2 linked regions of the Caenorhabditis elegans genome follow. The protein of the gene in region 2 interacts with the protein of the main gene of each other region in a pairwise test. Each region holds a gene or a part of one and is shown on either strand. Other genes may lie near its edges.

What was found.
Region 1: the proteins of F59C12.3 (region 2) and ZK669.5 interact in a two-hybrid assay, tested with the Caenorhabditis elegans proteins (one large-scale study listed by BioGRID).

Annotation. Positions count from the first base shown.
Region 1 is NC_003280.10:7,945,121-7,948,877, reverse strand, and holds ZK669.5 (GTP-binding protein Rhes), read left to right. Parts: upstream 1-2,000; 5' UTR 2,001-2,001; coding exon 2,002-2,064; intron 2,065-2,363; coding exon 2,364-2,546; intron 2,547-2,596; coding exon 2,597-2,757; intron 2,758-2,804; coding exon 2,805-2,900; intron 2,901-3,075; coding exon of another isoform or gene 3,076-3,083; coding exon 3,084-3,219; 3' UTR 3,220-3,382; downstream 3,383-3,757. Other genes in the region: dbt-1 (Lipoamide acyltransferase component of branched-chain alpha-keto acid dehydrogenase complex, mitochondrial), read left to right, coding at 3,703-3,757.
Region 2 is NC_003284.9:16,607,467-16,611,223, forward strand, and holds the start of F59C12.3 (Angiomotin_C domain-containing protein), read right to left. Parts: upstream 2,059-3,757; 5' UTR 2,054-2,058; coding exon 1,891-2,053; intron 1,841-1,890; coding exon 1,706-1,840; intron 1,639-1,705; coding exon 1,581-1,638; intron 1,411-1,580; exon of another isoform or gene 1,186-1,410; intron 1,074-1,185; coding exon 968-1,073; intron 924-967; coding exon 819-923; intron 774-818; coding exon 658-773; intron 1-657.

The DNA.
Region 1 (3,757 bases), on a different chromosome or scaffold from region 2:
AAGTGAGCATTGGAGACACAGAGAATATTGAGAAAATAACCGAAAAACAGAAAAATCTCAAAGTTCAGATCCGGTGTCTTGAGCAGCTTTTGACTTTCTTTTTCTTTCTTTTTTGGAGGAAATAACTTTTTTCCGTGCGTAGAACCTATTTCTATTTAGAAATAACGGATGTGAGGTGAGAGTCTTTTCGTTTTTTTGCTTTGCTTCTAGATTCAAAAAACTTCACTTCAAAATGTCGAATCACTTTGAGCGCACGATACTTGACTATAACTGCACATTCAAACTTTGAACCGAGACGAATTATTTCCTTGTTGTTTTCGTTATCAATTAAACACAGTTTTATAACTACGAATGATCGTTTGTTAAAAGCACATAACTATGAACTGTTTGTCATTTGTCAACCACTGATGTCATTATATTTCAGAAACAAGCTTAAAATCAACAAGTTGTCCAATGTCATGTGTTTTAGAATTGTATGCCTGATTGAATCATCATGCAGCGAACAACAATTACAGAAATAACAAAAAAAGGAGAAGTCTGAATTTTCAGCTGCCCATTTCTATTTTCCTGTTTTAGTCATAAAACTCCTAGAGATTTTAATTAAAATATCGCTGGATTCTAAGAAAAATCATAGTGATTTTATAATCAATTACTATTCATTCCGATAAATCTTCCGGAATCCTGAACTAAATCCATTTTTTGTTCGTCTCTTTTACAATTATTTCCTTCTCTAAGTCTCTTGATCCTATACAATCTCTATTAATTCCGTGCGCAATTTAATTCTCATTTTGATAGATATCCTCTTCTCCGTTTCATTGTCATTCATATCCGACGAGTCAACGAACCGAAATTTTTGTTCCTACAACCTTTTTATTTAGAGTTTTTATACTCATTTTATTCAACTCTTCCAACATAGGTCTTGACCTTTCTTTTAGTATTTCTTACTTTGTCGTCTGGTTGAAAACAATAATGAGAGGGTGTGTTCTGTGGGCAATTTAATTAATGATCAACTAAAAAAGCTTCCTGTTTTCTATAAGTCCAGGTCAATTAGAAATAGATGACAGAAAAATGATTTCTGGCATGGTTGATTCGAATTTTAATTTCTTTAATCAATTCCTCAAATGCGAATTTAGAAGAATAAAATACATAGTTTTTAGGAGGTTAAAGACGAATTAGATTCCATTTGAAAAATTAAACGATTTCAAAAGTAAAATATTTTTGGTTCGAAACTAAAAATTTGTTAATACTCTTTGAAAATTTTTTATCCTGAAAAACTAGTTTTTTGCAAAATGTTCAATTTATTTGCAAGTTTATTTCACTCATCACTAGTTCCACTTTTGCAAAATTTCTGAAAATTTTGGATGATTCAAACATGTTTTCTAATTGTTCATCAGACCTTTTTAAGGTAATATTAAATTTTAATTGAAAATTTCAGATCATTCTTCCCACTAAACTTTAATTCCAATTGAAAAAGACTAGAGAACGTAATATCTTTGAAGACGAGAAAACCGTTGTGACGTAGTCGATTCAATCTTCAAATTTCTTTGTCTCTTTCGTTATTTCCATTCAATTTGACTGATTGGTAGTGACTACTGATATCAGTTCAAAAACTAAGACTATTCTCATAGGTTCATATTAAAAATGACCTCCACACACAATCACACTGGTCACTTCTCATCGCCACGTTTTTTATTTGTTTCGTACAGCAGAGTAGTGTAAATGAGAAAAGTGTCAATAGATCAGGAAGTTGTATATTACACATTTCCTATTTCACTCTCTTCTTCTTTTTCATATTTTCATACTACATTTCAAAGTGCTACCAAAAAAGAAAAAATGACTTCCGATTTGTATATTGAGTTTTCTCTATTTCTAACTTTATCCATATACTCTTTTTTTCCAATAATTTTTGTCTTTTTCTATGTTTTATCCTGCAATATGAATTATTGGTGATAACATCATCAGTCCAAATGAAAAATGGATGAGCTTATGTTTTTCAGAGGAATGGCTCCCGATCCAACTTCTTATGATCGAGTTTTCAAATTTCTTATTTTCGGAGGCAAATCGGTATTTTTTTAAATTAAAATCTTTAAAAATTTAAATTTAAATGTCTCTAGTTTTTAAATTTACTAAATTAGTTATGTACTCTCTATTAGAATTTTTCTGACAAAGGTTTCTAAAAAAATGTATCATATTTTGAGTAGTGGCAGTCAAAATATTTATTTTTATTCAAAAAGTATGAGTAGGGCTACTTAAAATTTCCCATTAAGCTCACAGAGTGGATAAAATTGAGTTTTGATGTTAAAAATTGTTCTTCAACGGCTGTAACTCTAAGAATCATTTAATGAAAAAAAAAATGTATTCAGGTTGGTAAAAAGACGTTGCTCCGATCATTTTGCACAGAAGGAGATAATGAAAGTATTTGGACTTCTCTTACTGTTGATGATGAGAAGGTTTTAATTGAAGCAACTGTTTCACAAAAATGGGAAGAAGGAATGTCAAAAGAGCACGATGCAATTGCTCTTGTTTTTTCTACAACTGATGTATATGTGAGTTATTTCGATTGAAGCTGGCAAATCAAATAAATAAATAATTTCAGAGTTTCGAATACACTTTAGAATTATACAATGAAATTCAAAAATCGACAGAGAGAATTCCCCTTGTGTTCATAGAAAATAAAATAGATATTGTGGAAGATAGTCAAATGGATAAAGGATTAGTTGAAGGAGAAATGAGGAAAAAACATAAGAGACTTTATAGGTTTGCAGATGATTTTTAATAAAAAAATTATAAAAAAATAATTTCAGAGTGTCAGCACTGAAAGAATTCAATGTTATGCATCCATTTGCCTACCTCATCGAGAAATTGACACGACAGAAGAAAGATTTAAACGCGAATGAGAGGTTTGACTCTATTACTTTTCAAATTATTTATTTAAACGTTCTTCTCTTAAATAGCTATATTTTCATTTGACAGTTTTCAGACCTTCTCCAATTATCCAATCTGTAATGAAAATTTCTAAAATTCTAAAATTCTGAATACTATATAAACTGAATAATTCCTTCAACATTTTTTCAGCGTTTCAGAAAACAGTCTTCGTCTGTAAATTCTACATCAACGTCACCACCATCTACTACAGTTGAAGCTTGGGTTGAACCGGTTCCCACGGCGACAACAACTTCGGCTCCCGCACTTAAAAAAGATAAATGCACACTGATGTAGTATTGTTTTTGAGTTTAGATATTTTGTTTTTTCTATTGAACTACGAAAAATCACAGTTTCTTGAGGTATTAATTTTTTGAAACAAATTGGGCGTTACGGTTTTGATCTCTTTTTATTTTCTCTTTTATGAAATCACGAAATAAACCTTTTGAATTTCTGAAAAAATATATATGCTTTTCCGAAATTCTGAATTAAATAAACAGTTTCATAAAATGCACCATGATGCACCATAACGTGATAGAGTGCGATTTCTTGGAATTCGAATTTGAAAAACCGCCAGTTTACACGAGAAATGCGCAAAGACACTTTGCGCCAGCATGCGTCCTTGACGCGTTGTTGTCATTTTATTCATTTTCTCACAGCTTCCACGGATTTTCCTTTTTTTTATTTTCCTTTTTATTTTCCTCAGTCATTTCTCATAAATTTTAATTTCGTAAACGCAAAAATTGTAGAAGAAGAAACTGGTAAGAATAACCGACGAAAATGATGGCCGCACGACTCCTGGGAACGTCGTCTAGAATTTTTAAATTAAATAAGC
Region 2 (3,757 bases):
AAATAAAAATATTGTAAAATTTCAGAAAAATATGCCCGTGTAAAACTTTGTATGAAATAAGCTTTTTTTTGCTTACTCGGCATTTGGTTCTGGCTTCTTGCCCAACTTTGTCCTACAAAATATCAACATGGATTGGCGCAACTTGGCCAAAAGTTAGGCAAGACTTCGGCAAAAATTACACCAAAGTTCAACACAAGTTTCACCCAACTCTCGCCAGACTTCTACCAAAGTTTGAAACGAAACAAGAAAAGTTTGGGCCAAAGTTTGGCAAGAGTTGGGTTTAAAGTAGGGTAAGAGTAGAGTTCGGCTTTGGTTAAACTCTGGTGCAGTCTCAATCCTTTTTCTCAAGTTTAGCCAACTTCTAAGCCAAGTTAAGATTTTTTGGGCCAAACTTGGGCAAGTTGCAAGAGCCAAATGCGAAGAGTATTTTGCCCAAGTTTGTTTAATCAAATCATTATTGTTGTGAACTTCAATGATATTAGTTGTGTTCAATGTTTGTCTAGTTTGCCCCAAACAACAAAAAAGTGCTGCTCGTGAATTTTGTGAAATAGTTTTCAATTCATTTTTAAATGGAAACTTTTTTATATTGCCTTCATTAGATATAAATATCAGAAAATTGTTGTCTCTTTTTACCGACAAGATTTTCAACCAACTTACTTTTTTACAGACTTTTCCAATTGAATAATCACGTTCAGCTCTAAATTTTCTTGCTTTTTTCGTTCATTTGCCAAGTATTCGTATTCTTTTTCCAGTCGAGCATATGAGTATTCAATCTGCAAGCATTTAGGTTTCCCACTATTTTGAAACTTCCAACAAACCTGTTGTAGTTTTGAAAGACTGCGCTTGAAAGCGTCGAGCTCTTTTTTCAAGTGCACATTCTCCTCGCGGAGAATTTGAATGAGCTTCTGGTTGCTGGATACTCCCTAAAATAATTGTTTGTTTTGCTGTTGCTTGTTGAAGTTCTTACTCTGTTAGTTTGGCTCAATGTGGGGACGTCAAGTGCTTGATCTCCAGATGCAGATGCCCTACGCTGATAGGCAGATGTGCTCATTTTTGATTCATTTGGGGGAATACTGAAATTATTAATGTTTAAAAGAAGAAGGTCAAGCTTTTTTTTGTAAAAAAAATATCTCAGGAAAAATGTTGAGTTTGTCAAAAAAGTTTGTTTGTTTTTTGAAATGCAACTTGAAAGTAGGAAGTTTTAATTTTAGATAATCGTTTAGCTAAAAACCTGTGCGGAAGTTGTTTAAAAGTTTTTCCATACGAATATAGTGATTAAATATAAAAATGAAACTCTTGTTATAATTTTTGAATTTTTTATTCACAAAAAAAAAAGAGAGAAATCTAGCAATTTTTCAGTATTCGTCACTTACTACTTATTAAATTCACCAAAATGTTTTCTACGATTTTTATAATTTTATAAAATGAAAAAAAAAATGCTACAAATTTCCTTATTTAAAAAGTGTGGCTGAAATTAATGCATAGTGGGAAACACTGTGGATAAAGTTATTGATACATTCAAAAAAAATTTTACAGTTTACCGTATAACGTTTCAAAAACATCATAAAACCAATACTTACTCTGACGATCTTGATCCACTCGCAATAAGACATGGCTGAGAATGACTGATAGGTGATGCTGAAATAATATACTATTTTCATCAATCCACCAAAAACAGAAAAAAAACAAAAAATGTCACACGCACGTCCTGCACTTCCATGTAAATCCTTCCGGCTGTTTGCTCTTTGCATGTTCATTTCAAGCTGATATTTTTCGAGCATCTTCTGCAACCGCTTCTCGTCGTCATCCTTGCTTTTTGTTTGAGCCTGGTGGTTCATCACTGAAAAATAGTTTTTCGAATTGCAGGACCCCTGGTTCGATATTGCTCACCACTCGCTTTCAGACTTGGATTCAACTGAGCCTCCTTTAGAAGTGAGTCTAAAATGTTCGTCTCTCCCTGATACATGGGTGTCGGTGGCACTGCATGCACTCGTCGCTGATCCGATGATGTGCCATCCGACGAGCGCGGATCTATCACGTCCCCTCGATTCATTCACCCTGAGATTAGTTTCGATTAAATAGTGAATCATCAAGATTGAATGTAGAACGAGAAAAAAATAGGTGAGAAAAATTAGACATTTATTTGGGTGCTAATATGGCAATCATACCTAGAAATATTTAATCAATAACGTAATTCTCACGTGGTCATTTTTCAACTAAACTACATGAAGCTAATACTAACATGAATTTTAACTTCACATCTTGAATGAATGAATATTTTGAATGCAAATACAAACGTGGTGTCAGGCCCACGGTGTCAGGCATTACGGTTTCATCTACAAAAAATGCGGGAGTTTTTCAATCGAAAAAAAATTGACGCCAGCGCGTTCTTAACCGTGCAAAATCAGTTGAGAACTCTGCGTCTGAACTCCTGCATTTTTTGTAGGTCTACGTAGATCAAACCAAAATGAGACACATTGACGCCACAAGAATACATGAAAAAATGATACAAAATTATATGTATTCTGGAAAAAAATTAAACAAAACTAAACCATGAATATTGTTGCCAGTGCAACATGTTCCCAAATTTTACGAATGATAAGAAGACACTTCGTGAGCTAATACATACAATGTAGAAACATTTTCATTAGTTTAAAATTGAATTAAATCTAATTTGATAATATACCAATACTCTAAACTGTAAGACCAAACTAAAAGTGACAATTTCTGGTATAAGTCACAAATACTCAACAACAAAAAACTAACACAAACCCGTCTCGGGCGGTCAAACGCAGTTTCGATTAAACTACACTAAAAGGTTTCAAGTGACCTGACCCGAAATGCAAGTTCCTAATTATATAATTACACGCGTTCGTGTGGAAGACCTTCTTTCCAAAATCGTTTAGTTTAGTTCTGATTATCGCGGCTTATCCGTGTTAATCTCTGACGTGGTCGAAATCCAAAATGAAGAAACTTATGTTTTTGCTGTTTTTTCCAGTTTTTTTGTTTTTGAATCATGTGTACTGAACAACAAATGGGCAGGATGAAAAGCAAAATATGATGAAGCTAGCCGAAAACATAAACAATAGAAACAAAAACTTCGAAACAAAAATATGAGGAAAGAGAATATGTTTTATATGACGAATTTTTTTAAAACTATTTTGATATTTAATGTGTAGTTTTTCGTTTAATAATTTTAGGTATGGTATGTTTTGTATCAATTTTGCACCCCATGGTATTTTTCATGGATCTTCTATGATTCCCAGCGTCTTCAAAATGCTCGTATAATTTTGTTTCTAAATGTGCACATTTTTGTTTGAATCCTACGTAAATTCCAGTTTTGTATATTGAATTTCAAATATAAACAGTCAAAAAATGGTATTGCAAGAAATACTGCAATGAAAAACACAGTAGTTCTAGGAATTACGAACAAAAATTAATTCGTCGGTTTATCATCTTGTAGAATTGGATTTTTGACTTCTGATTTTTTTAAATATTTTAGAATCTTTTTCGATTTTACTTACTTACTTAGTTTTACCTAGTTTTATTTAGTTTTATTTGGTTTTATTTTATTTTTTCTTTGATACTGAGTTTTATCGAATTTTCACATAAATTGCTTTAAGTTTCCTTGAACAAATCATTTGAAAATCATCAAAAGTATTTTAGGATCATTTTATGCGTTAGTGATTATTGATTTAATATATGGGTTATTGAATAGAAAATGCCAATTTTTTGATTCTATGTGACAATTGGTTTC